Rattus norvegicus: one gene and its partner. The protein of the gene in region 1 interacts with the protein of each later gene in a pairwise test. Links are inferred from orthologs where the notes say so. Each region holds a gene or a part of one and is shown on either strand. Other genes may lie near its edges.

Region 1 (3,712 bases):
CAGGCCCAGGATCAGGATGCAGTATTCATCCTTCTGGAACATGTACTTGTACAGCCCGGAAAGCAGCGTGTACATCCTGTTTGGCACCCTGAGAGATGTCAAGGTGTGTACCAGGGTCATCGGCCTCCTGCCCGCTTCATCAGTGATCAGTCTATCCTGCTAGTTTTTAAATGAGGATCCTGACTCTCCCCCCCACCCCCTTCGGTTAAAAATCTCTGACCCTGACTCCACCCTTGCCCACCTGCTAAACCTGGGCCACTCCCACTTAAGGTCATCTTTCAGAATACACCATCGACCTGGAACCCTGAAAAGCCCGTGGCGGCCTACTCTACTCCGCCTTCCAAAGGATCCTCTTTCCGAACCCTCAACTCAGCGACAGGAAGCAGGGCCAGCGGACTGTCTAGGGAGCTACCAAAGAGGCAAAGCTTCTGGCGAGGGTCGGCTTCGGATTCCCGCCGCTGCTGGGCCCACGGAGACTAGGAACCATCTGCTGAAGCCACTTCCGTCCCCCTATTTCAGGACTCTAGAACCCCAGCTCCTCAATTCAGCTGAGGCCCACCTGTACCTGCTCAAATTTTGGAGGAGGAGCCGCCGCCACCGCGTTACTAACCCCACCGACCTCACGTTGACCCCTCACGGTGCCTGACGGAACGAGGATCGACAGACCCAGCACGGGCGGAGTCGCATCCCAGCGTCCCCCGCGCGCCGGTACTTCCGGCAGCATCGGCTCTCCGGCGGAAGTGCCAGCGGAGGGCGGAAGGTTAGCGCGTGAGCTTTGCTGGGGAAGCCGGAAACCCTTCTAGACTGCGACCGCAGTCAGGAGGTGGGGTTGCGGACGGCAGAGGACGGGGGCGGGTTAAGTGCAGGTCCCCTCGGCAGAGCCTGGGTCCTCCTCAGCCTTTCTAGCGGTTTGGGGGGGGCGGCGTTGCACTTAGCCCTTCTTACTGCTCTTCCTTCAGAGCTTGTCTGCCTTAAAGGTTCCGAAACCAGCCTTCTGGGTCAGGATGGACGAGGACAACCTAGAGACTGCCCTGCAGACCTACCGGGCCCAGCTTCAGCAAGTAGAGCTGGCGCTCGGTGCTGGCCTAGACGCTTCTGAGCAGGCGGACCTGCGCCAGCTGCAGGGCGATCTAAAAGAATTGATCGAGCTCACCGAGGCCAGCCTGTTGTCGGTCAGGAAGAGCAAGCTGCTATCTACAGTGGACCAGGAGCACCAAGAAGATGCTGAGTACTTGGCTTTCCAGAAGGCTATAGCGGAGGAAGCACCCGTTGACCCCGGCAATGACTCGAAGACGGTCCCTGGGAGCGAGGTGCAGCCGACACCCACCTCCTCTGCACTGGAGGAAGAGGAAGAGGACCCAGATCTGGAGGATCTGAGCGGTGCTAAAGTGAATGCCCCCTACTACAGCGCGTGGGGCACGCTAGAGTATCACAACGCCATGGTTGTTGGCGCCGAAGAGGCGGAGGATGGTTCTGCGTGCGTTCGGGTACTCTACCTATACCCTACCCACAAGTCCCTGAAGCCCTGCCCGTTCTTCCTGGAGGGAAAGTGCCGGTTCAAGGAGAACTGCAGGTAAAACCCTCTGCTACTAGCAATGTGGGACACGTAGTCAGGACCACCGCTGTGGCCTGCCGCCACAACTTTTTCTGCACCCTGCAGAGTTGATAATGAAGAGTCCGAGCTTCAGGTGACTGACAGGCTTTTACAGAAGTGTTCTTCGTTTGTCTACTTAGATTTTCTTGCATAAATCAAAAAGTTTGAAAGGGCTATTGTTGAAAGGATAGGGCAACCCATCATCAATATTATTCTCCAAGGTAAAACGTTTTTTGCTTTGAGATGGCAATGTAACCTCGGCTGTTCTTCAATTCCTGATCCTTCAGCAATTGTGCTAGATCCCGAATGCCTTCAACTTCCAAATGCTAGGATTACAGGTGGAGGCCACCACCACTTTTACTGGGCTACATCTTCAGCTTGGAACCTTTTTTTTTTTTTTTTTTTTTTTTGACTATGATGAGGTGGAACTAGGGCCTCCAGCACACCAGGCAGTCAGCTACTCTACACCTCAGTCCTACCCTCAGCTATGGGGAGCGTTTATATATAGTCTTACAGAACATTCAAACACATAACCTCTTGCTACTTTGCCTTTCCCCCTTGTGCTACCTTTGGCAAGTCACATCTTTTTCTCTCACCCTCAAATACTTCAGAATGTAGCTAAATAATAATTACTAAAACCTACCTATGTCTTTTTTTTAAAAAAAAAAAAAGATTTACTTGTTATATATAAGTGCACAGACACACCAGAAGAGGACACCAGATCCCATTACAGATGGTTGTGAGCCACCATGTAGTGGCTGGGATTTGAACTCAGGACCTCTGGAAGAGCAGTCAGTGCTCTTAACTTAACCAGAGTTATTTCTCCAGCCCCTATGTCTTTTTTTAACTCAATAATCCAGAGTAACTCTAGTGCTTTGAATTTATTTTAGGCCACTGAAATAAAAACAGATTTGTTCTACTATAATAGTAGTTAGTAGTGATCTAAAATTAGTTTCACTTGGCCAAAGGCAGGATTTTAAGCAGGGCTAGATCCTTGGAAGTCTGAGGGTAGAATCCAGAATCCATTTCTTTGTCCTTTTTTTTTTTTTAATTATTATTATTTTATTTTGACTTATTTATTTTTTTTACCTTTTTAATGTTTTTCTCCAAGGATCCATAGGTTTCTTTTGTTTTGTTTTGGTTTGGTGCAGGGTCTCTGTGTAGTCCTGGCTGTCTTGGACTACATATAGCTATGAAGACCTGACTGGCCTTGAACTCACTACCCAAAGGCTGATATTAAAGGTTTGCACCATGGCCCGGCTATTTTTGGCCGGCTATTTTTGGCTTTTTTGAGACAAAGTTTCTATAGTAGTCCTGGTGGCTGTCCTGGAACTTACTTTATAAACCAGGCTAGCCTGGAACTAACAGAGAGCCACCCGCTTCTGCCCTCTGAGTGCTGTGATTAAAGGCAAGCACTACCATTTCTGGCTAAGATAAATTTTTAGTTATGTGTATTTGTGTGTGAGTGCATGCGTATGTGTGTGTGTAGGGGGGTGGGGGGTGTGTACCTACACAATCTTCTAGCCTGAGAAAACTAGAAGAAGGTGTTAACCACTGAGCCGTCTCTCCAACCTCCAGAGACCAACTGTATTCCTTGGTTTGTGGCCTCCTCACATCGCTTTAGGCTCTTATTCCCACGTTACATCTGTACTCTGCACATCTTATTTCTTTACTTTGTCTTTAAAATGAGGTCTCATGTAGCTCAGGCTGGCCACACACAGCCATTTCTATATACCCAAGGATGACTTTGAACTCTTGGTCTTCTTGACTTCACCTTCAAGGGCCAGAATTGTAAGCAAGTGCTACCTATCTTGGCTGTGCACATCTTTTTGTTGTATTTCATGGTAGACCGGACATGTCCTTGCCCAATCTTCCTTTGCTAGCAGATAGGTGCATAAGTGATCTGTGTGCCCAGCAGGTTTACTTTATTTGTGTATGGACAGGGTCTCTCTGTTGTGCAGCCCTGGCTGACTAGAGATGAGTTTGCCTCTGTCTCTGGAGTGCTGGGATTAAAAGAGTGCTGTTGTTGTAAAATTAAATTAAAAACTGTCTTTTACCCCCCACTAGATCCAGCACCGCATTGCCCCAAGATCTGCTAGATATCTTGCCTGAAACACA
Region 2 (3,649 bases), on another chromosome or scaffold:
ATCCCAAGAGGTCAAAAATTTGTATTTTTAACTGATTCATAGGAACATCATGAGGCAGATGATTTTAAAAAGCATAAGTGTTTAGTGCTAACTGGAAAGTAGACTATTTGTCTGAAAATAGATAATACCCCTTCCTTTGCTGGCGAGGTGAGGCTAGCTTATGCCTATTCGATGTCATCAGCTTTTACACAACGCTGGACACAACCTGCAGGACGGTTGGTGGTGACAGTGGCTTTCTCCATTGCTCTCCTTCCCTCAGGCATCACTTAGGGCTTGTAAGTCCTGTGGTTGCCTCACCCACTCTGCTCTGGGCAGATGCTTCTGCTCAGACACCCAGTGTTTTTTCCCAGATGTTTCAGATTGTCACTAGAAAGACACGAAGACCTTCAAAACTTGATGGGTTTCATAACTAGGTGACTTCTTTAACTGCTAGTAGTTCTTTAGCTTGGTGATACCTAGTTAAGGAGTTTTTGTTTCTAATGAGGGGAAGTAAACTGCTCCCAAAGCCCCTCTTGCTTAAAATCTATATACTGTGTGATATATACAAATGTGTGTGTGTGTGTGTGTGTGTGTGTGTGTGTGTGTGTGTATAAAACTGTATATATAGAGAGATAGGTATAGATGCATGGATGGATGATGGATGGATAGATAGATGGATACACACACACACACACACACACACAACACACACAGTTTCAGGGTAGGCCTACTCACAAACTTCATTATTGAATGCATTGAGGACATATTGTACGAATCAGTTTTCCATCACTAGGACAGAATACCAGGGTCTATTGTCTGTGGCCCACAGCTTGAAGGTTTCAGCACCTCATCAGTTGGCCCTGTTGCTCTGTGTCTGTCCAGCGAGGCAGGAACATGTGGTGGAGCAAATTCTGACCTGTATTCCTACCTAGAACAGTCGCCTGGTCTAGTTTTGGTAGGTGATTACAGACTCTCTTCAGTCTCCTTTCTCCTTGTCCCTTAGCTCATAGAGTCAGAGCTGAGCGATGGTGACAAAACACATCCTATGATGAGTGACGAGGAGGACGATGATGATGAAGAGGAGGCTGCACCTAGAAGAGGCCGCCAGTCCACGAGAAGCAGTTTTGGCCTCCGGGTAGCCTTTCAGTTCCCCACCAAAAAAACGGCAAAAACGCCAGATAAAAATAGCCCGCACTTGCTGGGCGGCAAGACGGATCTTAGAAGAGAGAAGAGCTGCAGGCAGCCCAAGGAAAAGGAAGACTCTGCTTCTGACGCTGAGGACGAGTCGAGGGCTGAGAGCCAGGAGACTTCAGATGCTCTGCTGAAAAGGGCCATGAACATCAAAGAGAACAAGGCCATGGTACGCTCTCATAGCAGCTAGGACCATAGCCAGCTACCCCAAGGGTTGCTGACACAGCTTTGCTCTCTGAGGGAAAGTATACCCTGGGGCACATTTGTGTTGTGATTAACTCCGGTTTGGGGATGGAAAGGCTAAGGACCATTTATCCCTGCTCCAAGGAGGCAGGAGGCTGCTGCTCGTGGTTGAGCAGGCTAAGTTCTAAGTTGGCAGAGGCATTGGAGAGTTAGAGGGACTGACCCAGCTGCACTGTCCCCCGCAGAAAGAAGCAAAGAGTTGCTGGGCTGTCACCAAGCCCGGGGGAAATTGCAGTGGGCAGGTGGTGGCTTCTATCTGAAAGCCACTCTTCCAGAGACATCATCTGAAGGGATGAGAAATGGCCACAGTTAAAGCAGCCGCTGCCGTGTTCTGATTCAGTTACGCCTTGCCTGGTGGTTAGCTCAACCTAGAGCAACCTTCGTTCTGTGTATTCGGGTTTGCTATGTGCTCTGTGTCAGTAACTTAGCCCAATCATTGAAAGTAATTCTTCCTAATTTTTACACTGGCAAAATTAAAAAGAGATTCTACTGGTCATAATTTTCTTTTCTCTCCTCGTTGATGGCTTTTTAAATGCCATCCTTTAAAAAAAAAATGCACATTGCTGATACTTTATACACAGACCTACCCCTAGCAAATTAAGAGAACACAGTAACCTGTGAATTTTGTTTGTTCGGGATGGGAGTGCTCGGCTAAAGGAAATTTTAGCATTCTGTCTGTCTGCATTTGTTGGTATACGTGGCGGTTCTTAGTGGTGTCATGTTTAATATAAATCTAAAACCTGAAAATCCCGAGTAAAGAGCCTGGTTGGTTGGCGTTAGGTCTCTGAGGGTAGAGACAGATGTATGTATGTGTGGAGGTGGGAATGTCTGAGGTGCAGCTGCAGGGAGACTAGAGCGGTCTTGATCCTCTTGCCTCTGCATCCTGGTGCTGGAACTATATCGAGTAGCACCATTTAAGCCCCAGCAGAACTGGGAGTTCTGAGGGCCGTCCAGATGGTGGGTCAAGCTGATATTTGAGTTTCAAGTTTGTAAAATGTGCTCCGGGTCACACTGCTAAGATAGTGGTGAAATCAGGACCTGATGCTCCTGGCCCCAGACATGCCAAGGCAACCATGTCTTCCTTGTGTTCTGTTGTCTCTGTATATAAGGAAGGGGTGTGATGCTGACTCAGATGAACAGCGGCATCCTCCTCTAACTCAGGAGGTGAATTCTTACGTGAGGCTATTAAGTTACTGAGGTTTATGGAAGCCATAGTGAGTAGTTCGGAGACGTAGGAGAGGTGTTGGCTCAGACCTGTCTCCTTGACTGATGTCAGACCCCCCCTTTGTTTTTGAACCTTAGCTTGCTCAGTTGTTGGCGGAATTGAATTCAGTGCCAGATTTCTTCCCCGTGAGGACGCCACCCTCAGCTTCTGTAAGTTGAAACTCCTGATTTCCCAGACTGGCCCTGCTTCTGGGAACTCATAGCCACCCTCGGTTTAACTCAGCTCCATCTGTCTGTGCCCTTGGTTTTAGAGGAGGAGAACACCTCGACGGGCCTTCTCAGAGGGACAGATCACACGGCGCGTGAACCCAACCCGGAGCGCACGGCCCCCAGAAAAGTTTGCTCTGGAAAACTTCACCTTCTCAGCCACCAAGCTTACCGAAGAGCTTTACAGTTTCAGAAGAAGAAAGACAATCAGTGGGGTAATTATTGACGAATAAACAAATGGGCCTCAAGTGCAAGTATTTCACTATGCTGGGGCGGGCTGTGGTGGTGTCTTGAGTCAGCAGGCTTCCAGGAGTTGAGAACTTGAGTTTTCACCTTGCTCCTGTGAAAGCGTGCGTTGAAAAGACCCTTGGGCTAAGCTGCAGATGACTTAGGAGTCCTTTTGTCTAAAACAGAGCTGAGGACGTTGGGTGGCTCAGGGAGAGAGTACTTGCGCAGCATGCAGGAGTTTCTGGCTTTGATCCAATGCTTTACCAGCAGCAGCCAAGCCAGCTTTGCAGTTTTGTGCTATGAAAGATGCAAGAGTTCCTCTTGTCCGCTTCAGGAGTGGCTGTTGGGGAGGAGGGAGGAACTTGGGAGCCGCTCCATATATGGGCATGGCTGTTTACCTCCTTATCCCCTCCAAGTTTATGACTCCTCAGCCAATGCTGTCTTGATCTCCCAAGGGAGTGTGGGATGGGGCAAACAACCACACAGACAATAGAGACTCCGTAACCCTGCACTCTAAGCTTGTTTATTTTCATCCTGATTTTCAGTGTGCAGGTGTGTGACAGGCTCTCCTGGTTTT

The links. The genes of interacting proteins can lie anywhere in the genome.
Region 2: the proteins of Zgpat (region 1) and Cdca7l interact in binary tests that used the Homo sapiens proteins (3 or more experiments, as listed by UniProt). The two-hybrid records come from large-scale screens. The link is inferred for Rattus norvegicus from reciprocal best matches to the Homo sapiens genes ZGPAT and CDCA7L.

The regions. Positions count from the first base shown.
Region 1 is NC_086021.1:188,850,750-188,854,461, forward strand, and holds the start of Zgpat (zinc finger CCCH-type with G patch domain-containing protein), read left to right. Parts: upstream 1-869; 5' UTR 870-1,004; coding exon 1,005-1,573; intron 1,574-3,712. Other genes in the region: Arfrp1 (ADP-ribosylation factor-related protein 1), read right to left, coding at 1-159, 566-724. UniProt on the Homo sapiens protein: Transcription repressor that specifically binds the 5'-GGAG[GA]A[GA]A-3' consensus sequence. Represses transcription by recruiting the chromatin multiprotein complex NuRD to target promoters.
Region 2 is NC_086024.1:144,975,216-144,978,864, forward strand, and holds part of Cdca7l (cell division cycle-associated 7-like protein), read left to right. Parts: exon of another isoform or gene 1-13; intron 14-982; coding exon 983-1,339; intron 1,340-2,715; coding exon 2,716-2,787; intron 2,788-2,888; coding exon 2,889-3,059; intron 3,060-3,649. UniProt on the Homo sapiens protein: Plays a role in transcriptional regulation as a repressor that inhibits monoamine oxidase A (MAOA) activity and gene expression by binding to the promoter.